Coturnix japonica: one gene and its partner. Each later gene encodes a partner of the first gene's protein in a complex. Links are inferred from orthologs where the notes say so. Each region holds a gene or a part of one and is shown on either strand. Other genes may lie near its edges. The genes, in order: EIF3D and EIF3F.

The links.
Region 2: EIF3D (region 1) and EIF3F share a complex: the UniProt entries of both Homo sapiens proteins name them as parts of the eukaryotic translation initiation factor 3 (eIF-3) complex. The link is inferred for Coturnix japonica from reciprocal best matches to the Homo sapiens genes EIF3D and EIF3F.

What each region holds. Positions count from the first base shown.
Region 1 is NC_029516.1:47,216,150-47,232,867, reverse strand, and holds EIF3D (eukaryotic translation initiation factor 3 subunit D), read right to left. Parts: upstream 7,975-16,718; 5' UTR 7,857-7,974; intron 7,632-7,856; 5' UTR 7,621-7,631; coding exon 7,498-7,620; intron 6,415-7,497; coding exon 6,369-6,414; intron 5,979-6,368; coding exon 5,842-5,978; intron 5,740-5,841; coding exon 5,654-5,739; intron 5,195-5,653; coding exon 5,122-5,194; intron 4,986-5,121; coding exon 4,870-4,985; intron 4,672-4,869; coding exon 4,539-4,671; intron 3,958-4,538; coding exon 3,810-3,957; intron 3,549-3,809; coding exon 3,418-3,548; intron 2,931-3,417; coding exon 2,845-2,930; intron 2,668-2,844; coding exon 2,538-2,667; intron 2,083-2,537; coding exon 1,940-2,082; intron 991-1,939; coding exon 710-990; intron 412-709; coding exon 398-411; 3' UTR 299-397; downstream 1-298. UniProt on the Homo sapiens protein: mRNA cap-binding component of the eukaryotic translation initiation factor 3 (eIF-3) complex, a complex required for several steps in the initiation of protein synthesis of a specialized repertoire of mRNAs.
Region 2 is NC_029521.1:13,747,500-13,762,077, reverse strand, and holds EIF3F (eukaryotic translation initiation factor 3 subunit F), read left to right. Parts: upstream 1-4,379; 5' UTR 4,380-4,401; coding exon 4,402-4,675; intron 4,676-4,785; coding exon 4,786-4,856; intron 4,857-4,932; coding exon 4,933-5,012; intron 5,013-5,952; coding exon 5,953-6,090; intron 6,091-7,151; coding exon 7,152-7,243; intron 7,244-7,455; coding exon 7,456-7,592; intron 7,593-7,705; coding exon 7,706-7,819; intron 7,820-8,442; coding exon 8,443-8,520; 3' UTR 8,521-8,837; downstream 8,838-14,578. UniProt on the Homo sapiens protein: Component of the eukaryotic translation initiation factor 3 (eIF-3) complex, which is required for several steps in the initiation of protein synthesis.

The DNA of each region.
Region 1 (16,718 bases):
GCCGCTGCTCACCCACCCGCCCCATCTCACCCAATGGCGTGCGGGGCGTGGCACCTGCAGCGCGGGCCGACACGCGCCGCTCCTCACGCGCCGTCGCGCGCGCGCCAACGCAGCGGGGAACGGAAACCGCGGGAGCGCGCCGGGCCCGCCGCCATCTCGCGCCGCATCACGTGACTCCGCCTCCCCGCAGCACCACGTGAGCTGGGCGGCCCTTAAAGGAACAGGCACACCCACGGTCAGCCCGGCCCTCCTCCCATGTTCTCCCTGCCCCGACAGCACACACTGTGCAGAACAGCCGTGCAGAGAAAAGCCACTTTATTATTCCGGTTTCTCGGCCCTGCCGGCCATTTCCAACGGATCCCGGTGCAGGGAGGTGCCCAGTCGCAGTCCCTGGTGCTCAGCTCTCTTCTTCTGTAAGACAAAGCACAGCTGCTGCTGGGGCAGGAGGAAAAGCCACATCCCACCCTAATTATAATAGGCTCACAGCCCCTCCTTGCATTGCAGTCAGACCCTGGGCAGCAGCAGCACCAGTCTGTGCCCCACTGCTGCCAGCTGTTGTGTGTCACATATTATAGTCACTGCACCGCACACTCTACAGCATCCTTAGGGCTGCACCTTCCCCAGCCCCACATTAGCTCTTATCCTTACCCTACATCCCTCCTTCTCATCCAGATGACTGAGAAGCACTAACTCCCTGAGTAATACAAACCTTCCTCTTCCTCCTCCTCCTCTTCATCCTCCTCGTCCTCATCGGAGCTGAAGGTGCCATCGGGCAAGCTGTAGATTCGGATCACCTGTTTGTTGGGGTCTTTGAGGATGAGGTACTTCCCCTCATCCAGCTTCATGCAGATGTCGATGACGCAGCGCAAGATGCCCCAGGCGTTCTCTATGCTCAGGTTGATCTGGCTGGCAAACTCATTGGGCTTAAACTGCTGCGTACCCAAAATCACATGGCGGGCAGAGTCCTTCACGTGGTAACGGGACACGTACCTGGTGGGCAAGAACGAAGAGAGAAGTAGCAGGGGATTAATTTTGGCCACTGAAGCACCATCAGAAAACCCAGCATCATGATTGGTTTGCTTTTGCTTTCTGAGAAGGAAGAGCCATCCTAACTCCAACACTGAAAGCTAAGAGGATCTCCTGGCCACAAGCTATTGCCATCAGTAACACAGCTGGAATCCTCTCACTACCCCACACCTCACAGAGCAGTTACTAGTGCCACAGATGAAAGCTCAGCGATTGCTTGATTACTTGGGAGTCTACACTTCAGGTATCTCGTATCCCAAAACACAATATAGAATTGCAGACGCACCAGAATTGAGCCCTTTTCATTATCACCAGTTATTATTTCCACTTACAGATAAGATGATATACGCTCTGTGTTGGTGCTGTTCAAAGAAAGCACAGAAAACGCACTCTGGTCTGGATTTCTGTAGAAGTGGATGACTGGCAGAAGGCAGCACACACAGCAGCTCATTCAGGCCATCAATAACAGAGCACAGACTCAATTGGTTTTAAACTGACAGTTCCAAATGGTTTGTGGTGATACCTCCCTCCTCCACTCAAATTCTCAGTAATGGTGCGCTGAGGACCTCAATCAAACTCCTGACAGGTAGCATGGTCACTGCATTTATTTCCCTTGGTGGCAATTTCAGCAAATAGACTGGGAATGGCAGAGGCCGCCTGCTTGTCACACACATGAGGTCTTACAAGGTCAGCCACAACGGAGGGCACATCAATCAGACGTTGAGGGTAAGCAGCTAAAGCTAAGGCCTGGGTCACCACTGGCACATTTACTGCAAGCTTTACCCACTGCTGTTCAAACCGTGAGGCAATTTTATGATCATCCAGACTCTACCAACAGTTCACTATGATACAGACTGTGTTAAATTGCAGAGAATGCACCTGAAAGACACTTGGTATTAAAACCCTGTCTTACCCGAGTTTGAGATATTCAGATCCAGCCAGCAGTGCACAACATGTCCAGCGAGCTAATTTGTAGCTGTTGTTTTTCAGCTCTGTGGCAATCACGGCTCCTCTCTGTGAGTCAAGCTTCTGGCGCCAGTCTACTCCATTGCAATACTAACGGGAGAATCAAAAACAGGGTGAACCTAACAAGCCAGCAACAATTATCTCTTCAGCAATTGCATGGGGAAGCTTCTTCTATCTAAACTATGATACCGTAACTATGGAATGCAAACCTGTACTTGCAGAGAGAGCCCCTGCACTGGAAAGGGAGAAATGCAGTAGCAATGGCTAGGAGAGGAAGTCTGCTAGGGACGGTTAATGAGGGCAGCACAGATAAAGATCAGCTACTGCACAGAGCACCTGGGAACAAGAACAGGGTTCAAACCAACTACCTCATGCCTGGGTAAGGCTTAATAGCACTGCTAGTCCACCAAAGCTCTGCATCTTTGACAGAAGGTAATAACTCAGGGGACACCACTAGATGTTTGTCTCATCTTGCCTGCTATACCTGGCATGTCAGGCAGCAGTGAAGCAGTTAGAGCTAGCTTTGGGATCTTGTTCTTCCTCACCCTGGAATCCCATTCGTTCAGAGTTTTGATGTTGATGAATGACACTTCGCCGTTAGCCCCTGTCATCACTCCATCATGCTCGCAGCGGACAATGAGATCTATGTCATCTCCCAGCTTCCACCTTCGGTACCTGCACACACACAGTCCAGGTCATTGTTGATCCTGGTTCTTTGCCAGATCTTTCCAAGTACTCAGCAAAATCCTTTCACCCTTTATCTGTTCACTGGTTTGGATTGTTTTACCCTGCAAACCACGCTGATATCCTGCACCCTTGTCAAAGCTTGGAATAAGAGATGCATCAACATACCTGTAGGCAACAGAAGCTACTTCGTTCTTATCCATGTCATCCTCCACAAAGGGGTTTGGGTTGGGAAACTTGTATTTCTCCTTTCCCTGTGTAAGGAAACAGAAAGGCTTATTAGTAAAACAAACAAGCAAAAGAACAAAACAAAACTTAGAGCTCTCCTCTTGGGTGAATATTCTCTTACAGCAACAACAGCTGACTTCCCTTACACAGAGAAGACACTAAAAGATTTAAGACAACAGATGCAAATTCTCCTTTCCATGGTAACCACTTCCCTGTGATCATTACTCCTCTTAGCACACCAGCTTTAATAAATGTAATCAGAAGCCTGCCCACTTTACCAACAGGAGTGGGATTTCCTCTTTGTAAAATAAAGGTGAAAATCATTTTATAAGAGTCACTTTGCTCAACATAAGGAATCCCACCTGTTTCAAGCTGAGGTAACATCAGTGCAAACTACTTTTACCAATTTAAACACTTTTGTGCTGAGCAGCAGCATTAAGCAAGTCTGAATAAAGTCTCATTTCCAGACTCTCCAAAATTCAGACCTTACTGCCCAGGACTACTCGGCCTTACCATCCTCAGACACTGCTGGGAGAAGTTATGGTTGATGTAAGTTGCTTCCATGGCAAGGTTGCGTGGAGAATTAAAGGAGTTGCCCTCTTCCTGTGGTGGTTCATTAGCTGTTTCACTCACTGTCAGTAGATCTGAGAACAAAACCAGTCACATGCTGTTACACTTGAGGAGAATCTGTATCGGCTTCAGTGAATCTCTACCACACATGCTGAGGCAGATCAGCATTGAAAGTACTCTCACAGTTAGCAACATATTGCAGCCATCAGTTTGCTCCAGGTGTCTCGGTCTTGGCACTGAGACACAGAATACATTAAAAAAACAACAACAAACAACCACCACCAGAGAAGCATAAAGAAAAATGAGACAAATTTTAATTCAAGAGTTTTTCTCACCAAAGTCTGAATTGTCCCTCTTGTCAAAGAAAAGCTTGGATCCAACTCTCTGGACAATGATGTCCCAGGAATACACAGAGCGAGTGCAACTCATCAGTGTGGCCAGGATAGCATCTGTGGCAAACACATTCCCTTGAGTCTTGGCCAGCTACGGATACAGAAAACACCATATTTCAGCAGCACTTACAGACATACCTTTCCTTTCCCAGCCAAGATCAGAAGTGCTAGCAAACCAGATTGTGAATTTCTTCTTCCATACTGAGAAAGACAGACTGCTGGGTACACCGTTGACAGCTATGCCAAGTGTGGAGTACTACCTAGTAATCCAGGCTCACCCTTGCTCTCAGACAAGCAAAAAGAAATCTACTACAAAATGGAAATCTACTGTGAAAGGACTTGGTTCCTTACTGACAGAGTCATAAGGAGCAGTCCCTGAGCCTTCCTCATCTACAAAAGCAGAAAACTCTAGAAGCAGCTTTCCAACACTGAAGTTCCTTTTCCAGCACTGTCCAAGTACTCGTTTGTTTGCCTTTCATTGCTCAGTACTCCCAGTTTTACCCTGTCCCAGCTTACCTTAGGTCCAAGGAAAATAACAAGGTAATAGTTTCCCCTTTGTAAGCTGAGAGATGTAGATTTTTCCTGTTTGTCTTTGGTCTGACTGTGACAGTTCTCAAAGCACAGCATGCAATGAAAAGCACGCTCTTGGATTTGGGAAACCAGTGAACATACCTTTCGGATAACTGGGTCATCAGTAGTAGTGACTGTATGGAAGATGCGCTTAATGCTCCTCAGCAGCTTCTCATTCCTTGTTGTAATGCGGTCAAAGGCTTTATCATAGTATTCTAGAGCTCCACAGCACTCTCTACAGAGAGAAAGGACAGATCATCTTGGTCACATAAACACCTCCACTGACAAACCACAAAGGACTAAGGGAATGGTTGGGTGTTCTACCACTCCTGGCTTTGCTTACTTCACTGGGGACACTGGGACCAAGCCAAGAGACCCCTTGCTTTCCTGCTATCCTGTGCTGTCTATTCAGGAAACTGTTTTAGGAACTTACATGTCCTGTGGTTCTGACACTTCCAGGTAGCGCATCTTCATCAGTCGAGGGAAATCCATCTCTTCTTTCACCTCCCAGTCACTGCGAACTTCCACAGAGGAATCACGAGGCTTCTGCTGCGCGGCCAGAGGTGAAAAGGGTAAAGGGAGAAAACACACATAGCACATCAGGATTTGTGCACGAGGACATACAGACATCAGCACATACAGACAAACTAAGCCATCACCAGGGTCAGGAAGCTGGCTAATTTACCTGTGACTTCTGGTCCCATTTCTGCCTCACTCCAAACTGCTTCTGAAACTTCTTTTGGAGGCGCAAACGATCCCTACAATGACAAATAGGTGAAAAGCCATTACAACAAGTTCTCAACACAAGAAGCTCCCTGCCACGACTCCCACACTTCCAAATAATCACCAGAGGAACAACGTTTGCAGGCTGAGAATTTGGCTATCCAAACAACTGAAGTGTTAAGAGCTTTGTTCTGCACTCTGAACACCCTTTATATGTTTTTATCCTTAATGACCACAACACAGTTTCCAGGAAGAGCACATCCTGCTTTAAGTTGTCACACTTACCTCCTAAACTTGACTCAAAACATCTCCTAGATTCTTAAATAGCTGCCTGAAATCCATGCTTGTAACTACTGGGCGCATCAGCAAACATTAAAATACCCTGAAATGCTTTGCTAGGAACTTTGGTGGGTTCTGTTACAGTAACTTAAATTACTCGTTAACAGTATGTTCACACACTCCAAGTACAGAATGCTTGTATGTGAAGCCCGCACCTCTCTTTCTGCTTGGCACTCTTTGGCAGCGTCTGCATGCTGAACTGCAGCATGTTCCGGCGGTCCTTGTCTCTCCGAAGGTTCCTCTGTGGGAATGCAGCAAAGAATAAAAGGACAGATTAGTGGCAAAGTAATTCTGTATTGCTCAATCTCTTTTTTTGAGCCTGTTTCTGAAAGTAAAGCTTTACCTGTGCAAATCGCATGCGATTCCTCTGGTATGCAGTTTTCTGTGTCCGGGCTGTATCCACCAACTGGAAGCTGGTCTCATCCTCCTCATGGAAATACGCATATTGACTTCCACCACCAAACTGTGATGAGTACTTGTCTGGAAATAAAATAAATCATTTTGCTATGAAGCTTGGAAGCAAAAATATGACACTCCACCCGCCCCCCCAGTTTTCCTCAGTAGCCTTTACTCAAGTCTAATGCATCAACTAGGACTCCTGCATTAGACTGTCACATTGCCTCCCTGCTCTGAACCTCCCAGAGAAGCACCAGTCAGCACATGGAACAAACCCACAAGGGAACCCTAAGGGCAGGGAGAGCCCCACGCAGCTCTCCAAGCGGTGAGACACGCTTCTGAAATTAAAGAGCCTCCTCTGCTGAGGTGTGTATGTAGCCGGTAGAGCCAGTGGGAAACACGAAAGCAGGGATGACGTTTGAAGTAAGCTTTGCACAAAATAAATAGCAGGAACAGCCATTGGACAACACGTACTTGTGTATCTCTTATCCTGATACGTGGCTCCTGTCCAATCTGCCACCTAAGGACAAAAATATACAGTAAAAAAAAAAAGCAAGTGTTAATATGATGTGTGTGTCGTCCCCCCCCCCAGTAGGGCCTCAAAAGGCAAAATAAGGGACTGCTGTATGCACCTCAACTCCCACCTCCATAAGCAAGCCTCACAGAATGCTCACAACTGTCAAGGTGCTGGAGAACCATATAATGTCATATCTCAGAATGGCTCAGGTTGGAAGGAATCTTAAAGAATATCTAAATCCTGCCCCCCACCAGCTCATTCACCGGCTTTAAGCTGCAGGTGTATGGGCACCACAGCTCTCTGGGCAGTCTGTGCCAGCGCCTCAGCGTCCTCTAAACAAAGAATCACAGAATGACCCGGGTTGGAAGGGACCTCAAGGATCATGTAGTTCCAACCTGCCTGGCAGGCGCCAAACATACACCTTACTAGATCAGGTTGCGGGCCCGTCCAACCTGGTCTGAACACCTCAAGGACGGGCATTCACAACTCCCTGGGCAGCCGTGTCCAGGGCCTAACCACTTTCCTAGTGAAGATTCCCCTAAAATCCAACCTAATCTTCCCTCCTTCAACTTAAAACCATTTCCCCTAGTCCTGCTATTATCAGCCTTTTGAAGAGTTTACTCCCTCCTGGGAGTAGTTCCTTCAGTACTGAAAGGCTGCAATGAGGTCACCCGCAACCTTCTCTTCTCTAGGCGAACACCAACTCCCTCAGCTGTTCCTCATAGGGGAGTGCTCCAGCCCCTGATCATCTTCGTGGCCTCCTCTGGACCCTTTCCAAAATTCCATGTTTTTTGTACTGAGGGCTCCACACCTGGACACAGTATCCAGATGGGCTCACAAAGCAGAGTAGAGAGGACGATCTCCCTATCCTGCTGACCACCTCTCCTGATGGAGCCCAGGATCCATTTGCTTTCCGGGCTGCCAGAGCGCACTGCTGGCTCATGTTGAGTCTTTCGCACACCAAGACCCCCAGGTCTTTCTCTGCCGAGCAAAAAAAGAGACCCCTCCCAACGTCTAACCCAGCTCCCCACTCTGGTAGCTCAGCAGAGGCACAGGGGTGCACCCAGCAGCCACACAGCGCAGTACCTTGCCCAGGCGGTCCCCCTTGCTGAAGGGCTGGTAGGGCATATCCTTGAACTGCTCGGGCACGGCGCACGGGCCCCAACCCGAGGGGTTGTCCTGGATCACGGGGGTCACGAACTTCGCCATGGCTCACAGCCCTGCGGGGAACAAGCGGAACGTTCCTTCAGCACCCGCCCCGTCGGCGCCACCGTGAGGGGAAGGGGCACCGAGGGAGCCCGGAGCGGGCGCAGGAAGGCGGGGGCGCCGGCCCGGCCCCACCGGAACCGGCGGTAACGCCTGGGCGGGGCCGGGGGTCGCGCTGCCCGCGGGCCGGTCCCGGTAGGACGGCGGAGCGTGACGGGGCGGCCGCGGCGTCCCCTCACCTGAGCGGCCGCGTTACGGCCCCGATGGCGACGGATACGACAGCGGCGGCGACGGCCGGCGAGGAAAGGCCGCGCGCAGCCCCGTCCCGCCCTTATTGCGTCAGCACTGCGCGACGGCGCCGCCGCGCACCACCGTCGTAAAAGAGAGAGAGCGAGGGGGCGGAGCGCGACTGCCGTAAAGCGCGGATCTCCCGTTAGGCGCAATGCGCCCCGTGACGTCACCGCCGGCATCGGGCTGTACGTGGTGGGGTGTGACGTCACCACGGCTTTTACTTACCCGGGGGGTAGGGAGGGGGCAGGGTGGGTTCGTCGCGTGCCTTACATAGGATCATTAAGGCTGGAAAAGACCTCTAGGATCACCCGGTCCAACCATCAGCCCATCCCCACCATCCCCATGACCACGTCCCTCAGTGCCACATCCACACGGCTCTGAACACCTCCAGGGACGGTGACTGCACCACCTGCCTGGGCAGCCTGTGCCACTGCAGCACCTTCCTCATATCTCAATCTTTCCTCATATCCAACCTGACCCTCCCCTGAGGCCATTCCCTCTCACCCTATAACTGTTACCTGTGAGCAGAGGCCGACCCCCACCTCACCACAACCTGTTTGCAGAACGTCCCTGGGTATCTTGCACCATCTGAGTCTAGATCAATATTTTGCAGGCAGAGCACCGTGCATTTCCTCCTTTATTTACTGCGTTTAAACCCTCCTCGAGAAATAACCGAAGCAGTCTGCTTTGCCAGGAGGCTGCGCCATTAATCAGAAGTCGGATTATTAAAGCAGTTTTCCCCGCTAGCAAAAAGAGAAATCCACTTACAGAAACACGGTTTATAAAATACCATTTGTAACTCTCACAGGCAAACAGCCTTTGTGGTGACAAACGTCAGTGCTGGAACAGCCCTGGATATCACAGACTCAACCTGAGCATAGCCACGTTCAAGTCATGCTTAGGAAACGTAAAAGGAAGTCCCAAAGAGCAAACGGAATGAAGAAAGAGAAAACAACTAGACTGATAAACCTAGACTCTGCATTCCCCCTGCTTGCCTGTTCCCTTACAGTCCTGTGTGAGGTGCTGAAAGGCAAGTGTAGCGCTGCTGCTGCCTGCTGAAGAGTGCTGGCACTTCGGGCCCAGCCCCTCAGGCTGCCTCGTCTGGGAATGGAGCTGGGTATTAGTGTGTCTCAGAGGGGAAAGCAAGCACAGGGAATGGCCATCAGAGAACAAATGCTCTTTTAGGCACATCATAACCTACCGGTTTCTTATCAAGAGGAGAAACTTCAGCTGCAAGAAAAATCCAGCCTTGAGGAAGGTGAGATTTGTTCCCCCATTTAAGTGGGATTTACTGGAAGAGGGGACAGGGTGGCTTTGGCTCACGCTTACTTGGCACCAGACCCTGCCCAGCTCACCTCCTGTCCTGGGCTGCACTCAGGGCTGTGCTGGTGTCAGCTCCAGCACTGTTTCTGCAGATGATTTGCCATCCAGCTGTCGGCTATCATTATCAGCACGTGAGACACACAGTGTCCCAGAAAAGTGCTGACTTTGCTCAAAATACACTCGCTTGCAATCACTTGATCTGTGATCCATAATTTCAGTTAATCAGTTAATTAATCAGTTAATAAGGCTAATCACTTTTCCCTGGAAGATGCTTATGAAACAGCCAGGATAAATTGCTTCCATCTGGTTCTGCATTTTTGTCTTCTGCTTCTCCATTTCTGGGATCTATGCTGGTATTTGTGGATCTATAAAAGAGGGCTTTTGTTCCAGCATTGTGGCTGCTCCAGTCCAAAGCCTCTGTAGCCATCACCTGGCACCCTCCCTCTGAGGCATCCACCTCCCACAGCAGCTCAGGGCTTCTCCGAGAGCTCCAGGCAGCACTGCAGGCTTGTCCTGCTGAGCAAGTGCAGTATGCAGCTGGGACAGTTTTCTTTCCTTCTTGCACAGCCATCTTTTTACTCCAAGAGGCAGCCTAGTGCTGGAAGACTAATGTTTACACTAAACAGGTAGTTCCTTGCTTGATTCTTACAACAAACACATCAAAAATAGCCAGTTCTTTCTTCTTCTAACAGCAACGAACACTTGGTTTGCCTGTACCATATATTTAGTTCCCATCGTCCTGAGCTCCTCGGCAAGCCCAAAGAAAAGAGTCGTCAACCCTGTCACCTTCCTCAAACTGAGGAGCCCAGCGTTTCCACACCTCTCAGCTCAGACTCTTTTTCTGGCCTTTGTATTTGAAGCAGTGAAGCTCACTGCTGGCTCCTGGCTTCTCACCATCAGTGTGTGCAGCAGCTGCCTGCTTGCTCAGTTGCACTGGAGGCTCATGGTTTCCATAGCTCTCTCTGTGTCCACAGCCTGGGAAGCCCTCCTTCTTCCTTGGCATTCATTTTCCCATCCCATCCTTGCCATTGTGCTTCTATCTGCCTCCTGCTGCTGCTTTCTGAGGCCAGGTGTTTTGCTGCTACATTTTTTTTTTTTTTCCTGGAAAAAAGAAACAGCCATTGAGTAACTCCCTATGCCATGAATCTGGTTTTCAGTTTGCTGCCTGTGCAGCCCAGTGGGGCTGGGAGCAGGTGACACCTGGCACATTTGCTGTGTGTGCTGGGAAGGTCCAAGCAGGGAATATACTGAGTTCATTCCTGGTTGGGGATTGTGCTTGCAGTATGAAGCTTCCTCTGTCTACTTGCTCCAGCCATGCCGAGTGCTTCCCATATCTCCTGGGTCAGACAGCCTTACCTGTGAAGGTGGACAGAAACCTGACAAGAGCAGGCTTCCTTGCCTTTAGAAACTGTATTGCTTCTGCTCTGGCTCAGAGCCTTGCCCTGCATCGCTTGCTCCTTTCATGCTGCTATGAGAAGGCTTGGGCAGAGCTTGCTGGAATTTAGGCTACACCACAAAATTCTCTGTTCTAGCACTGCCTCTTGCCTGGCTTTGGCCGTTTCTGTCACCAGTGTTGTTGGATCTGTCCCAAGGCACCCCTAGCTCTGAGCATCAGGGCTTAGAGCACATGCACCATCAAAGACGCAACGTGCATCATGCTCCATTCTCAGCTGCTGAACGCTGCCCTTTCCAAAGCAAAGCTGTTGGGAAGATCGTCTCCTTTGATCTGCATTCAGCGCTGGATTTTATCCCAGCAGCCAACAGGCTAATTCCATGAGTTTATTCTGCAAAGCTCAATGAGAGCAGCTGGTGCCGGCAGCGTCCCTGCTGGCTCCGTGCCTGCTGGAGGCGGGGAGGGCTGGTGCAGGGGCTGGGGTAGGAGCCCAGAGCTGCACACAGCAAGCTGCAACACCCTGCTGCACGGTGGTCCTGCTTGTGTCCCTGGGAAGGGTTCTATTTGGGAGCCGGATGCTTGGATGCTGTGCAGTATTGGGGTTGGGGAGCAGAGTGCAGCACCGCTGGCTTTCTTTACAAGGGCCCTGCAAGTGCCCACAGCTGCTTCCTTCAACATCAGCAACGTTGCAGTAATTTCTGTGCAAAAAATCAGCATCTTCTGGGGCTAAATGTGTTCTGCAAATGCCCCTGCCCAGCTGATCCCTTCTCTGAAAGCATGCTGCTTATGACAGCCAGGCAAAGAGGTCTAAGTAGGACATTATCAGGAGCTGAGGCAGAGCTGGATCTGCTTCAGCCCTTTTCTCCTCTCCTCTATAAAGCAACGCCGCTGAATGACCATGAAGCCATAGTACAGAGGCCGCCTCCATCCTCTCTTCCCTATGGCTTCAGCTTCTGGGATGAAGAGTCCCCATGGAAGCGAACAGGGGCAAGGGATGCAGAGCAACCCTGTATTGCCATCCCCACCATCTCTCGGTCAGCTGGAGATGCTCGGATGGGGACAAATGTCCGTCTGGAGGTACACAGGGAGCTGAGCCCTGGGGCTGTTCCTTTCTCTCCTCTTGAGCAGATTTCGGTGCCATCTGCTCTCTGCTGGCTTTGGAGGAGTCAGCCTCGTGCTTTTGTCTCCTTGGGCAAAACCGTGTCGCATACATCCCCCACCGGGCTGCGGGTGCTGCGGGGCAGCCAGCAGGGGTGTGCATCCCTCACCCTGTTCCAGAGAGCTCCCGCTGCAGCAATCCAAAGTGTTCCTTTCTCTTCCCTTCGTGTTCCTCTGGAACTGACACCTCCCAAGGTCACTGCTGACACCCGAGGCTGGACCCTTGAACCGAAGCAGCTTCAAACACTGCAGATGGGGATGAGAAGTGGGCGGGAAGGGGCTAAGCTGGCACCTCTTGGTCCACAGATGGCCCTGCAAGTGATGCTGAGGGGCTCAGAGCCCTGTGTTTGCTCTGACCTCATAACACTGCACTTCCCCACCTGCTGGCTGGAGCCTGTCCCATTAGAGCAGGTCAGACTCTCACATCGAAGTGGGTTATGTCCTTGGGTCTACTCGCAGATTTCCTGCAGGAAGGAGAGCAATCAGGAGTGAGGAGCCCTGAAAACAATGAAAGATGTCCACGTGCAGCAGCAGGATGCCAGTCCAGGTTCTGTCACTCTGGGCCGAACAAACCTGCAGGTCCTCCGGCTCTGCTCAGCGCTGTTTTGGGGCCGGGCTGCTGTGCTGGGATCATCCCACGGGATGGCAGTGCCTGCTCAGCCATGGGCTCAGCCCCGCTGTTGGCAGCAGAGCCTTTGGCAAATTGCACGGCGGTGGCGGCTTCTGATTGACGGATCCCCAGAGAGCAAAGTCCCTCGTTTCCTCCAGCCCGGAGGGGATCGGGAACAGCAGGAGGAGGAGCAGAAGTGCAAACCTGTTCTCCATAACCCAGTGCTTTGCCCTTGCAGATTTGTTTCTGGGTCTCAGCCCACAACCGTACATTTGACCCCTTTGCAGAAGCTGCCGGCTTCCTCATCGCTGACTTTGCGCAATGTCAAGAGTCGATGGCTGCAGAGGGCAACGAGACCTCCTTGTCCTCATACCCAGCCCTACACCCCCATCTTTCGCGTCTGTGTCAACCTGGAGGTTTCGACAAAGGGAAAGTAAAAGGAGGACAGTGGGGTTTGGCATCACCCACACATTGTTCCTCTTGGTGGAAAACCAGCACAAGTGACAATGTGCTGCCAGAAGGGTTCACGTCTGCACCAGGCTGGGATTTGCAGCCCAGGATCCTGCCTCATAGCTGTGCCCATAGGAAGCAGCGTGGCCCTTGCTCTACCCAGAAATAATGGTGAAGCATTGAAACAGGCTGCCCAGGAAGGCGGTGGAATCTCTGTCCCTGGAGGTGTTCTGGAACCATGTGGATGTGGCACTGAGGGATGTGGTCAGTGGGCATGGTGGGGATGGGCTGATGGTTAGATTGGATGATCGTAGAGGTCTTTACTAGTCTTAATGATTCCATGATTCCTCTAGCATTCCTCTGCTTCTGGGAACTTGAGCTCTGCAGGAGAGCGGGACCTTCAAGTTATATTCTTTGTGTGGGAACCTCCTGGAATTGGCTGGAGGTCTCCAGGCCATGCTTGAAAGTTATCCTCCCTTTGCCACCCCAAACCATGGCCTCCTCCTCCTGCCTCTGCCACAGAAGCCTCCCTGCAGCAAGAAGGCTCTGTGGGGTACCTGCTTCTCTGTGAGTCCAGCCTTGTGATCAGACAATACCCAGGACCAGTACTCAGAGGCTGACCCCCACCTCAGCACACCCTCCTTTCAGGTTGTTGTAGAGAGCGATCAGGTCTCCCCTGAGCCTCCTCTCCTCCAGACTGACCAACCCCAGTTCCCTCAGCCGCTCCCCATCACACTTGTGCTCCAGACCCCTCACAGCTCCGCTGCCCTTCTCTGGACACGCTCCAGGGCCTCCATGTCTTTCTGGTAGTGAGGGGCCCAGAACTGAACACAGGACTCAAGCTGCAGCCTCACCTTCCCCTTTCCTTCTGTTGCTTTGCCTTCTGGTTTCAGGAGCGTCCTGCTATGGCAGTAAGGCAAGCAACCTGCATGCCTGGCACTTAGCCTCTCCCTTACAGCCGTTTGGCACTGAAAATTATCTGCAGACAAAAGCGTCGTACCTGGGTCTTAATTTCCTCCCTTGCCAAACCATTACTACTAATTACTGCTCCTAGGTGTTGAAACCGTTTAAGCGACACTGCTAAATGCCCTGTGTTAATTTAATTGCCATGGAGCTGGGTTTTCCCGCATGCAGAGCTCTCACAGAGTCTCAGCAGAAGCAAAGCTGAGTCTCTCATACATTCTTCAGTCCTGTCTTTGGGGGACCAGACATGTTGGCTGTTCCCAGTCACGAGGCAAGAGGTCTCTGACATCCCCTGGCCCTCTCCCTGCATGGTGGTGTGGAGGAGCAGGCTGTGGTGTATTCTCCATAGCCAGGGGCCAGTGGAACCAGTGCTGGGAGAAGTGAGCGGGGGCAGGAGGAGCACCATGACCCTGGGTGAGGACAGGGCTGGCACCCACCCAGAATGTCCGCATAGCCCAGGGGATGGGGCAGCGGAGGGCTGCTGTTCACGCGCAAGTCCATTGCATTGCTCAATGCGACAGATTCATTAGAGAATGTTAGGGAAGTGCTTTGAACATGAGAAGTGCTGAGCGCTGCTGTTCCTTATTACTGCATGGAGGCCGGCCCTGTCTGGGGCACCGAGCAGAATTGGGTACGCCTGATTCCCAGACGTTACCTTCCCCCTCCTGCCCTGACCCACAAAAGCAAGGAGGCAGAGGGACATCGTGGAGGGGAAGAAGGGAGCACACCTTTAGCCCTGGTGAGGAAGGAACACCTCCGAGAGGCAGGGGCTGAGCCGTGCCCCCCATCACGGCCGGACACTGTGCAGGACATGGGACTGGAGCCACATCTGGCAGCGTCCCACTTGCAGGGTTGGCTGCATCTTGTCCCGCTTTGCTGCCTCCCCCTCCCTGCCTGTGCCCTGATTTTGTGAGGGAGGGGTCCCCAGGGAGGAGCCGAAATGGGGCAGCAGGTGGGGGAAGCAAAGGGAGCCATGGCTCAACCGTCCCGTCCTGCCCTGGGGAGCACAGCTGGGCATTTGGCGAGCAGTCAAGCAAAATCTTCAATGCACCCATCCTCATGGCCACTTCTGAAGGCTGGAGGATGGCATGGCTTGAGTTTACCTGTGCTCACTGTCAAGCAAAGCCTCATCGTCCCTCTTCTTCCTCCTTTGCCAGTGGAAGATGTGGGGCTCAGTGCCACCCCCTGGGTGAAGGCATCTGCAGGCAGGGCTTGACCCCCGTTGCTGTTTTTCAGGTGCTCCTCCAGCCCACAGGGGCCCTTTTCACTTTAATTCCACCCCCCAAAAAAAATAAATCCACTTGAACGAGGACCAAGTTATATATAAAAAAAAAATCTTTATTTCATGTACCAGGATTTTTTTTTTGTTGTATTTTTTTTTGTCATTTTCTCTTTTTTATTTTTTTCTTTTTATTTATTTTTTTTCTTTTTTTTTTTTTTTTTTCTTTTATAACAGTCTGAAAAAAACCCACGAAAGAAAGTAAATGGAGGTCGGTTTTTTCTTGTACTGCTTTGAGCTGGACATGTGCAATACCCTTGTTAGAACGCATCTCTGCCAGCCCTCATCCCTCCCCATCCCTTGTGAGGGGGTCTGGCACTCGCCCCCCCCACCTTTCCCTGTGAATGCTCTCCAGCTCCACGGAGCTTTTGGGTTTAACCCCAAACACTGCTCTCCTTTATGCTGCAGTCTGGGCGTGCAGTGAATCGCTTGTCCCTGTGGGCTGGTGGGGGCTCATTTTGAATGTCTGTCCCCTGTTTTTCTTTCTTTTGCTAATATTTGTTAGAGTTTGGGGGTGGGGAGATAGGGGAGAATTGTGAGCAGGAGTCTGGATATCTAACCTGCTCCACTCGCCCTACCCCGGGGGCTGAGGTTGAGATATTTGGGGGTAATGGGGGTGGAAGAGTCGGGATGTTTTTAAGCAGAAACCCCACTGGGAGCTGAAACTGGAGCAGCAGGGACGGGAATGGAAAAAAAACAAAGCAAAAAAAAAAAACCAAAAACCAAACCAAACAAACAAAAAAAAAAATTAAAAAAAAAATCAAAACCCCCAAAAAACCAAACACCAAAAAACAAACAAACAAACAACCAAAAAAACAAACCCCAAACCCCACCATATTAAAACCAAAAATTAATAGGTCTGAGCTGCCCTAGGGCTCGGCACACCCATCCTGCACACCCCACAGCTGTGGGGGCAGCCCCTGTGGGTCCCATCCCCAGGGACCCTGACACCCCCCCCCAACCCTTCCCGTCCCCATTTCCTCCTGCGCAGGTGCACCAATGAATTCAGCTGAATCCAGGCGAGATGGGGGGCTGCTAAAAAGGGACCCCCCCAGTAGGAGAGGTGGGTGCCCTGGGTGGGGGGAATGGGGCTTGTTGTTGGGGTGGGGGGTGGCCAAATGCATTTAGGGAGCCTGTGAGCATTCACAGGGGAGTGAGTGCGTGCCCCCCACCCCGCTGCAGCCCCCCCCTGCAGCAGCATGTTGAGCACTGGAAGCCCCTCTCCCCTCTGGTCCCCCCCCCCTGCAGCCCCCCCCCCACCCCTCCTTCTGCTGCCCGCCTTGATTTTTCACAGTTTAAAGCTGGAGAAAATAAAACCGAAACAAAAAATAATGCTATCTGTTTTCTCTTGCAAGTAAATCCACTTATTATATTTACATTTATTTATAGTTGTTGTTTTATTAAAAAAATTGCCACTTTTTGTTTTTTTAAGAAACCTTTTTTCGACCTTTTCCCCCCTCCCCCCTTTTTTTAATATATATATTTTTTTTCTTTTTTTTTTTCTCTTTGACATCGCGTGTCTGCTTTTTCACGCTGTCATTGCTGACCCTGGGTGGTGGGAGGGGAGGGGGGGGTGGGTCCCCAGAGCCGGGGGAGCCCTCAGGAACCCCGGGTACACTGTGGGCAGCTCCTGC
Region 2 (14,578 bases), on another chromosome or scaffold:
GCCCTCTGAGCTTCCAGGGACTAAGAGTGCAATGACTGAAGCAAAAATCTGACTCAGTTTCACTAGGCAAAACTGTATATCCAACTTCTACTTCTGGTGCTTCTTAGGTGTTCTAGACTTTCACTTTGTTTCAGAGATGCTGTGCTTCTCCTCAAACTACTCTTTACTCTTTACCCATTTCTAAACACTCATTTAATTGTTAAATATACATACATATATATATATATATATATATATATATGTAGATAACTTTTTTAAGCTACACAGAAAACAGATAATTGAAACTTCAGGAACAGGCATACTCAGAATGAGACAGAGCTCATGAATGAACTGGAACATGGTGATCAGAGTACAGAAGCAAGAACAGAAAGGCAAGCTGTAAGTACAGCCCTGCTCATTCCCAAATACTCAGAATACAGCTGCCCTTCTGCTGGTCAGCTCTGTCCCACCTTTACCACCCAGTCTTTTGCTTTGTGCAGCATCCCTGTTTTCACAGCTTAGAGCTGCACTAGGATGGTTTGTTATTAAGCAGGTCAATGGAATGCTTACATTGGACATCAAGGCTCAGCAGACTCTTCTTACAATCAATAGTCAGGGAAAAAAATCCCTTCAAAAGGCAACTAAGGGCATCTACATTACGCGGCAGGAAGGTGCAGGAATTGCCTCCTGCAGGCATTCACTTTACTACTGACCACAGAGCAAGCACCCAGAGACCAGGCTCCAGGAATGAACTTAAGACAGAAGATAAAGTACAGAAATATTCCGTGCCCATTTCCCTTGGCCTACAGTTATTAGAAAAGCATCACCCCATAAGTTTTTGGCTACCTAACTTTTAAAATGTCAGGTGGGGTTTAAGAAAAACAAACTCAAAGCAGTACTTACCAAGGCTACAAAACATACAGATTCAAACCTTTGACAGATATCTTGAGACTTCTCACAAAGTCAAAACAATGTTTTTTTCCAGGTAAGCATCTCCTACCATTCAAAAACCTTGTTTCAGAAAAGAAGGGATTTGTTCCTCATATTTGCTAAAAACAATCAACCAACTGTAAGATGCAGAAATGCAGAAGGCTGTGGTTTTTTCTGTATTTAAGCTAGCACGCACTTAATAAACCCAACCATTCTGTTAAAAGATTCTACATAATATTACAAGACACATACAGCCAAAAAGTATGAAACCAGCACCTACATTTTAAAACTAGGCAATTTATTCATATTTGGCATAGGGAACTGCTAACATCCGGAAAGGAGTTTTACAGTGTTTTCAGACAGAACCCAATGTAGACTTGAGAATGAAAGTAATTTCTAGACAGAGCTGGCAGAGGGATGACTGGGCCTGGTGAGAGATGTGTCACACAAATTCTGCCATTGGCACAAAGCAGCCTTGCTGGCAACTATGGAAACAAATGACCGGGATGGTATTTCAGTGATGGATCAGCTCTCATTATTTGTTCCAATGCAAAAAAAAAAAAATATGCAAATGGTTGTCATCCAGAATAGTACGTGGCAAATTCCAAGTGTTTGAGAGAATTAGGACAGAAAATCCCCAGAACATCTAAAACCCACTCTGGAAAAGTTGAACTTCTCAGGTCAAATTACAGTGGGCATAAGAAATCAGTTGTGAACTTGCATCTGTGAACAAAGTCCAGATTTTCATAATGGGGCTGAAATTCTCATCAGAACAGCGTAACCACTGTGTTTGTGTAGTCCCCTATCTGCAACAGTAACCAATGCTAAACAGAGCAGTGAGGGCTTACGATTTTGCTGGAGTGCTGAGCAGCTTGGAGCCAGCTCTCTGTGCAGATCACTCAGCCAAAACTGATCAGTTAAGACTGACTGGCTAACAAAATACAGAAGGTGAATTTATATATGTCAGTGCTTTGAGCATTTCAGATCTAGAGACAGACTAAGACAGCATTTTGCAAAAGCACCCCTTGCAAATACTACTACTACAGCTAAAGAATTACGTAAGTTTCATGTTGGAAAAACACTACAGAAATAGCTACTTTCCTCCTCCCAAGTAGGCTGGACTGACTCTTCTTCCCTTTCTGAAATTCATTCTCTAGGTCAGGAAATGCACCCTCCAGCTTCCTCTCAAAGCTGTTTCCTTAAAGATCAGAGACTTCCCTGCCTTTCCTCAGCAGATTGTCTGTGGATGTCCCCTATACAAACCTAGCCAGTCAAATATATGGGTCAGATCTGACAGCTGTGGAAAACCAAAACACAAATGTTAAATGACTTCCCAAAGTCAGTGGCAGACATGGGAGTGAAATAACACTAATTGTTATGAAACACTACATTGGAAGAGCAAAGATACTACCCAAAGCACACCTCTGCCACTCCCTCAGTTACATGAATGGCTTGTCCAACATAACCCAAGATGCCAGCAACAAAACCACAATGGGCACTCAGGACTCCCAAGCTCCAGTATAGAAACCATCCCCTAAATTTTATTGCTTGAGTTCCTTTTCAGCTCCTACTGTATGCAAATGAAAATCTTTTAACCTTCTCTCTCACTGCCCCCCTATATTCAGCACAATGTAGCTGCTTTATGCTAGAATAAATAAATAAATGGAATGCAGAGCTGTGAACAGTCAACACCATCTGACTCTGACAGCATAAAAACCACATCAGAGTTCACAAATAAGAGCCCTGGAGTGCACAAAATAGCAGCATTTTTGCCATTCTCTCTCTAGGCAGGTTCCTTACACTATTTAGATGAAATATGGATTTCCCAAACTAGTCACTTCCCTTCTGCACGCAGGTTCCATCCCAAGCCACCAAAGCAAATGTTTGTGCTGGCAGACACAAACAGCTCCAGTCCCAGAGGTCTGCTGAGGCTGGATGTAATTCTGGTCTGGGCTCCAGTGGATGGGAAGTGCTGATGTCAACCCAGAGAACACTGAGGAAAGGACACTCATCCATGAGAAGCAAAGTTGGAAAATTGTTCTATAAGAACAAAGGGCAGGGAGCTCTGCGTGGGGCCGCGCCGCCACCTGGCGGGGACGTGCGGGGCTGCATCTGCTCGAGCGGCTGGGGGCTGGATTGGGATTTCCATTCTAGCTTTAACATCAGCAGCTCCCCATGTCAAACAGGATCTCTAATAATTAAAGTAGCCCCATAAAACATTGCAAAAAAAGTGAGGAACGGTTTGAATTCCTTCTGCTAATATGAAGACATATCAACCAATGCATTATACTAGAAATTAGGCTGCCAACAATAGCCGTTCATCTACTAGCAACCACAAGTGAACAGGAAGCAGAGGAGTATCCAAAACACTCCATTGAGGCTGAATAAGGAAACTACCACTTAGTTTTAATTTAAAACCCAGAAGCCACTGACCATCACTACTTCATACTAAAGCCCCAGAGAAATCCTAGTAGCAATTGGATGGACCAGTATGATAGAAAAAGCATTACAAAAGAGATGCAATGATAAAAGGACCAACACAGTAGAAAGGTGCTATAAAGTAAGAGAAGATTGCTCACCTGTATCAGAAAATTCTAGGTTTGCAGCATAAAGCTTCACTAAGGAGAGATCTCCAGGAAAAAACCCTTTACTAGCAGCAGTCAGCCCTTAAATAAGGTCTAAGAGAGGTGCAGGCAGGCTGCATCCCCTCCAGGCACACAGCTGAATTGCCTTCACCTGTGCTCCCAGGGCTGACCAGTCCTTTCCCCAGCTGTTCAATCAGTGGTTCAGGCCGTGACTCAACACTTACCATACAGTCCTGAAAAACACAGATAACCAACAGCCAGCCAAAGCATTGGCAATATGACCATGAGAAATGGCAGAGAGGGAGTTCCATGAACACAGTGAGAGCTGGAGACACAGACCTGATGTTCCAAGCAGGAAAAGAGACTTCCATTCTTTGATACCAACAGATTCAGAAAATCAGTCTTGCTATTCTTTTTCCTAATTATGCTTATCTACATGAAATGCATATTTTATTTTACCTGTAATTCAATGCAATATTTTTAATGTACTCTAAGGGGTTTTTCGCCTCTCAACAAGAAATTATGTTTATTCCCATTGCACAAGCAAGATGAGACGATAGCTACTGATATAGAAATTATATATCAGCTGTGAAGATGCAGCCGACATAACAGCACATGCAAAAGTAATGGCTCAGTGACGTGTAAGGGCTGTAAAAAGAAATCACACCAGAGAATCACAGAATTGTAGGGGTTGGAAGGGACCTCTAGAGATCATCGAGTCCAACCCCCTGCCAAAGCAGGCTCCTACACCACGTCACACAGGTAGCACAGCTCTGCCTTTGGCAGACAGGAGCTCAGCGCTGCGCCAGCCCATGAGGGGGCGGATGCTCACGGAAGTGGCGTATGTGACAGGCGTTCCGATCAGCCAATTGTCGTGGCCGAGGTCTCTCCCCTTTCTCTTCGCAAAATGGCGGCTCCTGCTCCCGCTGTGGCTCCGGTCCCTCCCGCTGCCGCCCCGGCTCCCAGCCCCACGGCTGCTCCCACTACACCCACGGCGGCCGCGCCCCCTCCGCCCTCAGCCCCGGCGGCACCGCCGCCCTCCGCCCCGCTGTCCGCCGCGCTCTCGGGTCCTTTCCCCGGCGGCCGCGTGGTGCGGCTGCACCCGGTGGTGCTGGCCTCCATCGTGGACAGCTTCGAGCGGCGCAACGAGGGCGCGGCGCGGGTCATCGGGACCCTGCTGGGTAAGAGCCGCAATGCCGCAGCCCCCACTGATACCGCCCCACTGATACCGCCCCACTGATACCGCCCCACTAAGACCAATACCGCCCCACTAACCGCTGTCGTCCCGCAGGCACCGTGGACAAGCACTCGGTGGAGGTCACCAACTGCTTCTCCGTCCCGCACAACGAGTCCGAGGATGAGGTACGGTGTGGGGGCTATGGGGGATGTGCCATCGGGGCTCCTGCACCCGCTGACTCGGCTCTGTCCCCTTCCCCAGGTGGCTGTTGATATGGAGTTTGCCAAAAACATGTACGAGCTGCACAAAAAGGTGTCTCCCAGTGAGATCATCCTGGGCTGGTGAGTTCTATGGCCACAGGGAAGTGCGGGCAGTTGTGCAGGTCCCTCAGATACCTCAGATCTGTCATTGCTGTCAGAGGCTGGAAAGCAGAAGCAGCAGTGAAGTCGTGCCATCACTCAGGATAGGAAAGGATGCTGTCGCAGACTTAGAGCGTTTTTGGTTAGTCTAGAAGAGCTGTCACAGACAGGAGGGTTGGGAATGCTCATGGATCTATTAGAATGCAGTGATACAGTCTGTAAGGTAACTAGCTGGAGGGAGAACACAAAAGTACCAAAGGGCTGGTGGGAAACGGTGATGTTAGCCTGAACACAAGGGTGTTCTCTGAGTAAAGGTGGAAATACCTGTGATGGGGTGTTACAGGAAAAGAACTCGTTTGTGCACGGATAACTGGCCTCGTTTGTCTATTGACATCCTCTCTGGCCCCTTTCTATGGAACAAAATCCTACAAGCGCAGAACTCTTGGCTTCCTCAACAACCCATCATGGCACAGCAAGGTGCAGTTCTCATGGCAGTCGCTTTCCTGTGCATGCAAGAAGTTAATTGCGGAGCAATTGAAGGAGCGAGATGAACAAGCCCTGCCTCCTGCACAGGGGTGTTTAATTTGTTTAAGATTTACTTTGCTGGTCCAAATTTGCTTGGCATGCTTTGATTTATAAGGAAATAAAGATTTGGCCCAGAGCATAGTGACAAAAAACTGACTCTTTTTGATGGTAATACAACACTGACCCTGTGCATGTTTTGGGCATGTGTGCACTCAGCCTATAATTCTAGGAGAGCCATAAAACTACACATGACCTAGTTATAATACTAGTCTTTACTATGTGTCTGCAACTCAGTGCTTGGACATCAGGGTTTTAGAATACAGACCTGTTAAATACCAACAAATACTGGGCATTTGAACATTAGAAGAGTGGTCTTTCAACATTTGCTTTTTCCAAGGTACGCAACAGGTCACGACATCACAGAACATTCTGTCCTGATCCACGAGTACTACAGCCGGGAAGCACACAATCCAATCCACCTCACTGTGGACACAAGTCTCCAGAACTCACGCATGAGCATTAAAGCCTATGTCAGGTACATGGGGACAGGAACTGTCTGAATTACTAACAGATATTGTATCAGGATGGCACCTACAGCTTGATAGTGTTGCTTAGAGCCCTATCCAGCCTCGAATGCCTACGGGAATGGGGCATCCACCACATGTCTGGGCAACCTGTGCCAGTGCCTCACCACCCCTATTTTAAAAATGTTCTCTTTTTGTCCAATGTAAATCTCCCCTCTTTTAGTTTGAAACCATTTCCCCTTGTCCTATCACAACAGACTCTGCTGAAGAGTCTGCCCCCCTTCCTTCATATAGCTTCCCCTTTAGATATTGAAAGGACACACTCAGGTCACCTCACACCATTCTCCAGGCTACACAGCCCCAGCTCTCAGCCTGTCCACGTAGCAGAGTTGTTTCATCCCTGGGATCCTATTTGTGGCCCTCCTCTGGATGCACTCTAATAGGTCCATGTTTCTCCTGTGCTGAGGACTCTGCATCTGGATGCAGTACTCCAGGTGAGGCCTCACCAGAGCAGAGGGGCAAGATCACATCCCACTCCCCGCTGGCCACGTTTCAGGATACAGTTGGCTCTCTGGGCTGCAAAGCATGTTGCTGGCTTGTGTCCAGCTTAACATCCATGAGTTCCCCCAGGTCCTTTTTGGCAGGGCTGTGCTCCATCCTTACATCCCCCAGGTTATACTGATAGCAGGGGTTATCACGACCCAGGTGCACTTGGATTTATCAAACCTCATGAGGTTTACCTGGGCACACTGCTTGAGTCTGCCTAGGTCTCTTCAAATGGCATTTTATCCCTCAGACATGTCAGCTTCACCAAGAAGACAGTACTGAACTCATCATGCGCTTGTACTGATAAATGTCAGACCAGCTAGGAATATTTTTGGATGAAAATTTGCAGTTAATAATATACCTGTATTGATTTCCTGTCCTTGGTTATACATGGTATTAATATTGCTGATTTTACTGACAGTGAGTAACCTATTCGTGTTCACACTGTAGTGCTAATAAAGATCATTGAGATGGAAAATTATTTCCTTTCAGATGTGTCCATGCTGAATTTATGTGTTTTTCCTAGTGCCCCAATGGGAGTCCCTGGTAAAACTATGGGCGTGATGTTCACACCACTGACAGTGAAGTATGTTTATTACGACACAGAGCGGATAGGAGGTGAATGCTTTATTCCTATTTTGGGTCTAACCATTGTCGTGATACTGTTCAAATGCTGTTTGGTTATTAAGCCTGGTAAAATTACCACTCTGGGGGGGAATTAAACTGTCTCACTGAACCTGATGCTATCCTAGAGAGTATTGAACAAGTTAAAGTTTTAAGCTGCTTTCTGTGTCAGTCGGATTTCTCAGTGATCCTGGTTTTGCTTTCAGTGGATCTCATCATGAAGACCTGCTTTAGCCCTAATCGAGTGATCGGCTTGTCCAGTGACTTACAGCAGGTGGGGTCAGCCTCAGCCAGGATTCAGGACACCCTGGGTATGGTGCTACAGTATGCAGAGGATGTACTGGTAAGGCAGACTTTATATGAGACTGAAGATAAGTTTGACATAAGATTATGCATCTGTTTTTATGTTTTTATTACTGAGTTTTACTCATGCTGAAGTGTGTTTCTTATGCATAGTCTGGCAAAGTGGCTGCCGACAACACCGTTGGGCGTTTCCTGATGGATCTTATTAACCAGGTGCCAAAGATTTCACCAGAGGACTTTGAGACGATGTTGAACAGCAATATTAATGTGAGTTCATTGTCTGATTTCTAAGCGTATTGCCAGCAATTTTGAAAATATCATACAGACACAATTTTGTTTATGAACAAAACTACCTTTTCATACCAACACGGTCATAAAAAATACAGCCCTTTCTTGTCTCTAACTTTATGTTTTAAGAGCTGAAGGTGGAGAAGGGAGCTTAAGGATAACTAGTGACTTTCCCTGCCTTCTCTGCCTGACCTGAAGTTCTGTCTCATGACAGAGCACTTAAGAACCCAAACAAGGTTATATTGTGCTACTTTATTTCTGTAATGGATATTTGGAAAGCTGAGTTTCTGAATCTGTTATTTGCCCGTAGTCTGCAAGACCACAACTAATTTTTAATTTTGCTTCCACCCTTTGACTCTCCTGGTTAATACTGGTGAACTCTAAGTTAAAATTTCACAAGTGCTGCTTCATGTTCCAGGAATACCAACACTTTCTTCCTGTAAGGGAAGCATTCCTCAGGGTAGGACGTTCGGGACTAACAATAGTTCCAGTAGCTGATTGTAAAATGCTTTACAGGAGGCGTTAAAGATTCACATCTCCATACCAGGCTCTCATCTTTGTTAAAATTTCTGATGACTGTTTTTTTTCTTTCTTTCTCTCAGGACCTTCTGATGGTAACCTACTTGGCAAACCTCACACAGTCACAGATCGCTCTCAATGAAAAACTTCTGAGTTTATAAAGAAACTTCTGCCACCCTACACTTGAAAGAGCCTCAAGAGTGAGCAGATACACACTTCCATGGCGATGTTACAAATTCCCTCGGACCTTAACTTAATTACCTAAACGACTTGGTTTACATCTTCATTTCTACTTCCCTGGAAAATCCCTGACATGGTTTAGGAAGTGAATAGGAACTCCTGCAGTTTGGATGAACCCATTATTTTAAAATGGAATAAGTGAATCTTTTGCCTTCTGGGTTTATCAACTTGTGTAACAAAATACAGCTTTAATGTAAGAAATTATTTGAAATAAAGTTCAGTTGTATTGGCAAGAATACCTTCTGTTCAGAAGAAGACTCTTCTCATTTATTGTGTAGGAAGTATTGTGCAGTTTACCAGCCCTTAAAAGTACCGGAACACTGATGATGATACATTGTGACTAAAGGAGGTTATGTCTTCCTGAGCAAAGTGAAGGTATCAGGAAAGCCTGCAGTCCGTAGGCTGACTTGTATGGTAGACAGTACAGCAACAAACAAAACAAATTGGAGCAGAAAAATAAAAGCTCCCCTCAAAAGTGTATGTTTGATTCCATCCGTGCTGGTACTGGGAGAATGGTGTATTGTAAACCTTGCTCTGAGATTAGAATTTTCAATCTTTCGTGGCTACCCTTGTGAAGGACAATGTTGCAACCAAACTGTAGCACAGCGTATCATTTTACTTGGCTGTAAAGCCTAGGCTGTACTATCATTAGGAGGCTGAAGAAAGAGGCATTTCCTTCTCTGGAGTTTGAAAATCTGGACAGGGAATACTTAAGGCTTTCTACTGATCCATTTTATGGGATCTCCTACCTAAAACCTTGAAATTGCTTATGAAGTCTGGTGGGGAAAAGCCTGGGAGTCAAGAAAAACCACCAAGGATTTCAAGCTCTAATATGCTATTATTTATACATCAATGAGATCTTGGACCTACTAGGGGACTTTTTCCTTTTTTGTTTGTTTACGACTCAATACTCCAAACAGCTTTGACAAAGTCTTGCTTTTAAGAGTCTGATTTAATCATCTTTTAAATAGTCCAGATAGTTCTCCAAGTATGCTTCTGTGTACAGCATGTGTTGTATTTAATTATATTAATGCTCTCCTCGCTTAGACGGAGCTGATCCTGAGTTGTCACATGAGCACAAAGTTCTCTCTGAAAACATGTCTGCCCCAATATACATAATATTCAGACCAGAGTTTACAGTTACAAATGGTTCCCTTATTCTCTATGGGTGTTCTGTGTGCTTAGAAAAGTTAGAGGAGTACATAAAATCAGCTCACCTTGTTGCATCAGGCCTTCTCAGACATGAAATCCAAGTCATCTGCAAACTGGGATGGAGTTTCATTCACCACAGCATCTCTCAGCGGTATGATGAAGCAAGGCAACCTTGTGTTCACTTTGTTTCCGATGAGCATGGATGGCAACTTCTGACAACCTGCAGTTTAACGAGCATAATGTCATTATGCTTTGCACTGACAGCTTCCTAGTGTAATAAAACTGCTTGTTTCCCTCTGAGCAAGAGTATAAGACCCACAAGCACATGAGACTACTCTGTGCTGCTTACCAAAACCAATACTTGCAGGATGAACTTTGTTAAATAGAAATACCTTCCTAAAATTGCAAGAGCATGACTTCACTGATTATGGTTTCAACAATAGGCTGTGTACCACAATGAAAACTGGATGTATGTGATTAATCAAGTTCCCTGTGTGCTTTGTTATGTTGCAAGGTTTGCAGACAACATGGAGGTGATTCTTCAGGTGAAGCTTTTGGATAGGTGGTGTGCAGCAGCCAGGTTTCTCATGACTCTGTTAAGTGCTTTGGATTGATGATGCACAGAACAATTCTGGTAATGACGGTGACTGTAGGATTAGATTAAGGTCCAAAGAAAGCCCTTGCAGGCTGCATTGTGCTGGTGCTAATTTTCTGGCTAAGCTAAAACACAAAGTTTGACATTCAAATTCATGTGACTGAACAAAACAATTAATACTATGTGGTGATTCTCTGGGTACCAAAGTAAGTTTGTCTTGCTAGTTTTGGTACGTTTAACAGCCATTGTGCTGTTGCCATCTTCTCTGGATCCCTGTACCTTAGGAGGGGCTTCCTGAACACAGTTCCAGTTCTTTCCTGTCTTGACAAACCATATCTCAAAATCTGTTTTAAATATACCTAAATATATCTCCTTTGTCCTTACTGAAGCTTGTTTCATGTTCTTCCTGTTCTTCATAATAAGCTATATCTTCTCTTCTGCTGCATTATCTATGCTTTGATCACCTAGCTGCCCATTTTTAACTTAATTTCAGTCATTCTTATTGATAAAGACTTGCATCAGTGTGTAGATGAATGGATATAATAGTACACTAATGCTTTCCCATTATAAATTCCTTGTTTGCCTCTTGGTGTCTGTCATTACTGTGACTGAGCACCATCCTAATCACCCCCGTTGTCATTTGAACTCTTAAGTTACTATGGAAATTATCCATTTAAACGTATGACCTGGTATTGTGACAGCTTCTAATTAGAAAATCTAGATGTTATGATGATCTCCCTGTTTCTCCTGGTTTGGATTGCTCTCAGGGCTGGTGACACTTCAGTTTCATCAGCAGGTATCATTAGTTTGTTCCCAACTTTTGTGCCATTCTCAGTCAAGAAAAAACTTGGAACTAACCCAGACCCAGCTGAATTCTACAAACACCCTTTTCAATAAGGCTTTTGCACTTACTTTCAAGTTCTTTAGCCTCAGTCATGCTAATTTCCATCTTCACTGCTCTAATTAAGGGTTCTTGTCATGTCCTCCGTGGATATCCAAGCATCATCCTGATCCACTGTGTCCTGTGATTCACTCTTGACACGAACAACATCTTTGTGTTTGGCGTAAGCCTTGGAAAATGGAAATAAGACTAAAACTTCAGTGTTGTTGAGAATGACAAACAAAATTCGCTGTTTGCAATCAGATACTTCAAAACCTTGCTTATAGAATTACAATTTCATTTGCTGATTATTTCAGAATGCTGGAATGAAGGTCATAAGTCTACATTGTCAGCTGAGTCAATTACGTTTCTTGGCAGAACACTGAAGAGGAAGTAATGTTTTAGTGTATGATTTTGTGAACATATGCCATCTATTAGTAACAAATTTGGGATGGGTTGTTTAGTCTTAAGGATTAAAATGTCAGTGCAGGAAATTGGACATGCTGCTCTCTGAAATACTCTAGCAGAACTACCTGCTGCTCTCCTTGTGCGCTCTGAGTAAGGATGAAGTGTATTTTTAGTGTGGTTCCACCCAGCAGAACTAGAGACTCTGATGGCAGTCCTGAGGCTTGTGTGAAACTCCCATGATTGGACTATGGTGGGTGGAGTCCTACCATGACTCACAGGGCAGTAACTCCCATTTGAGCAGCTAACCAAACACATCTCCTTGTGGTGAACTGTGCTTGCTCTGCTCTCTGTTCTTAAGGAAGGTTTACTCAACAGCTAACTTTGACTATCTGCATTTTAATTACCTCAGTCACAAGGCAGTGTAACAGGGCAAATATTGTTAGTACCTAACAGACTTGGATCACTGCAGTATCCTGCTGGTTTGTTATACTTTGACCCACGGTTCAAAGCTGACCAGGTCTTGCTGCTTACTGAAAACTGTGGGAAGGCTGAGGGTTTTGTTCTTTTTCTATTTGTTTGGGAATACAGATGGTTTCTATCCTAAATAGTTCAAACCCAAACAGTCCACTAAATGGAAGAGGAAGAATTATGTTTTATAAAGGTATTTGAGCCCCGTGGAAACAAGGGTTTTGATATATACCTGTGCTGAAAGAAATGAATTTAACAGAGGTGAAGTATACTAGACATAACGCTGGAAGTGTCTCTTGAAAAACGCCGTGAGGATTAAATTCTTAAGGCTGTTCATGACACGTTCTGGGCAAACAAGGCAGGTATAAGCCCAATTCTGCTGAAGACAGGTCATTCATTAGAATTTTTATACATTTTAGGTGCTTTCCATTTGAAGTGGACAAGCGTGGTAAATTATTACCGACCTATTTTCTGCTGCCTGCACTTACTGCTATTTTAAAGACACAGAGAACAGTGGTTTCACTTGGCAACTGGCATTCAAATGCCACAGCAGGTTACAGCAGAAGATTGCTTGCATTTGAATGGTGTCTGAACTGCTAACACACGCTTTTCATAACAAAGCATGCAGAAGTTTTGAATAATGGCAATTAACTATTGCATAATAGCAGGGATGGATCCTTCAGGAAGTGTATAGGGCTGGTTAGAATCCCTTACAAATACTTTGCTACAGGGTAAAGGAAGAAGTAAGTGCATGTGGTGTCTGTTCCAAATAGAATATGAATAAACGTAACAATAGATTTAAAAATAGAAACAAAGCACCAAATTCACTTCCCATAGCAGTTAGTTGCCATAATTTAGGTTTATTTCTGGGGACAGGAGCTGTAGTAGCCTGGACAGCCCTACCTTCATCTTGGAGACCTACAGGACCTACACCTTGCTCTCAAGTCACACACAGAGTAGAGCAGCTGCCCTGGGTCCACTTGGCCATTGCACTGGTCTGGTGGTCCAGACGACACGGCTCACCGCCCGCCAGCTACCGGCCTCCATCTAAAGCTCCATGTGCTTCTGGAAAATAGGTCTGACCTAAATCCACACGTGTTTGGGTTGAATTTAATTGTACACGTGCCAAAAGGAAACTGCAGGGTGGACTTTCTACTTCAGAGGCCCGGTGCCCTCCGCATGGGATGGTACCCGCGGTGGGGCTGCGGCTCTGGGCACTGCCGTCCCCTAAAGTACCTGCTAGCCGTTCCGAGGCAGCTCCGTGCACACCGCGGCCCTGAGGGACACGGGGCAGGCCGGACGGCCGGGTGAAGGGACGCTACGTTAGCGGGACCGCCGGCCCGGCCGACTCTTGGGCGCGGCGGTGCTGCCCGCGGGGAGCGGGGCCGGGCCGGGCCGGGGCGGACCCGGGGGCGGGGCGGGTTCCTCCCGGCCCCACAGCCTCCATTTTGCGGTGTAGCTGCGGGAGAGAGGCCGGAGGCTCCGCGCTTTTCCCTCAGGTGAGGCACCTGGGGGCGGGCGGGGGAAGGAGATGAGCCCGGAGCAGCGCCCGCATCCCCTGCTCCGGGCCCGGCCGCTCCCCGCGGGAGGGGAGGGCTGCGCTGCGGGACCGCGAAGACCGGGATGGCGGCGCCTCCTGCTGCGGGACGCTGAGGGTGGGTCGGTATCGGTACCGGGCAGAGCCCGTCCTGCTGTCGGATACACGGGATGGAGCGGCATCTGCTCCGCTCCGCGGCCTCAGGCTGAGCTCGGTGCGGGCGGTCCGTCATCAGGTCCCTGCTGCTGTGAGTGCACGGATCTCCTGGAAGATGCGGAGCTGCTTCGGTACACGCCGCTGTCCGCTCGGTGTGTTGTGAAGGGACCCCGGGCCCTGCTGTCGGGGCAGCCCGGGTCGCAGGGACCGAAGCTGAAGTCCTTACCTGACCCCTTCACCACTGTGCGTCCTACCAAGGAAACGCCATCACTCTTCTGAGTTACAAGCAGCAGCAATTGGGGTCTTGCTAGAGCAGGTGATTACACGGCCCTAAACACAGCAGCAGTTACCCACGTCCCAGAAAAGAAACGCACAACGGTGCCAGTAAGGAAAGAGTTAAGCACTGTAACTGTGTGTGTACGTCACAGGTGTGCACGGGTGGGTGATCAGAAATACAGCCTCCTTTGCAAAGGAGGCGTTGGAAACCAGGATATTAAAAAGCTTTTGTGCCAGAATTTGTTTGACAGGAAATGGGGGCTGAAAAAAAAAACTGACTTCATTCTACATTATCTCATCAATAAGTCTAAAAAACTGGTATGTTTTAGTACGGATGAAATATTGTTGGGTCACACTTGTATACAAATTAAACTTGGAACAGCTGATCTGCAGGCACCGGCTGCTCGCTGCCTTACAAAAAGCAGTGTGAGCGCAGGGGATGTGATACCGTGCACACCTGCCCGTTTCACAGGCTTCACGTTACTGGCTGCTTAACAGTGTGACTTT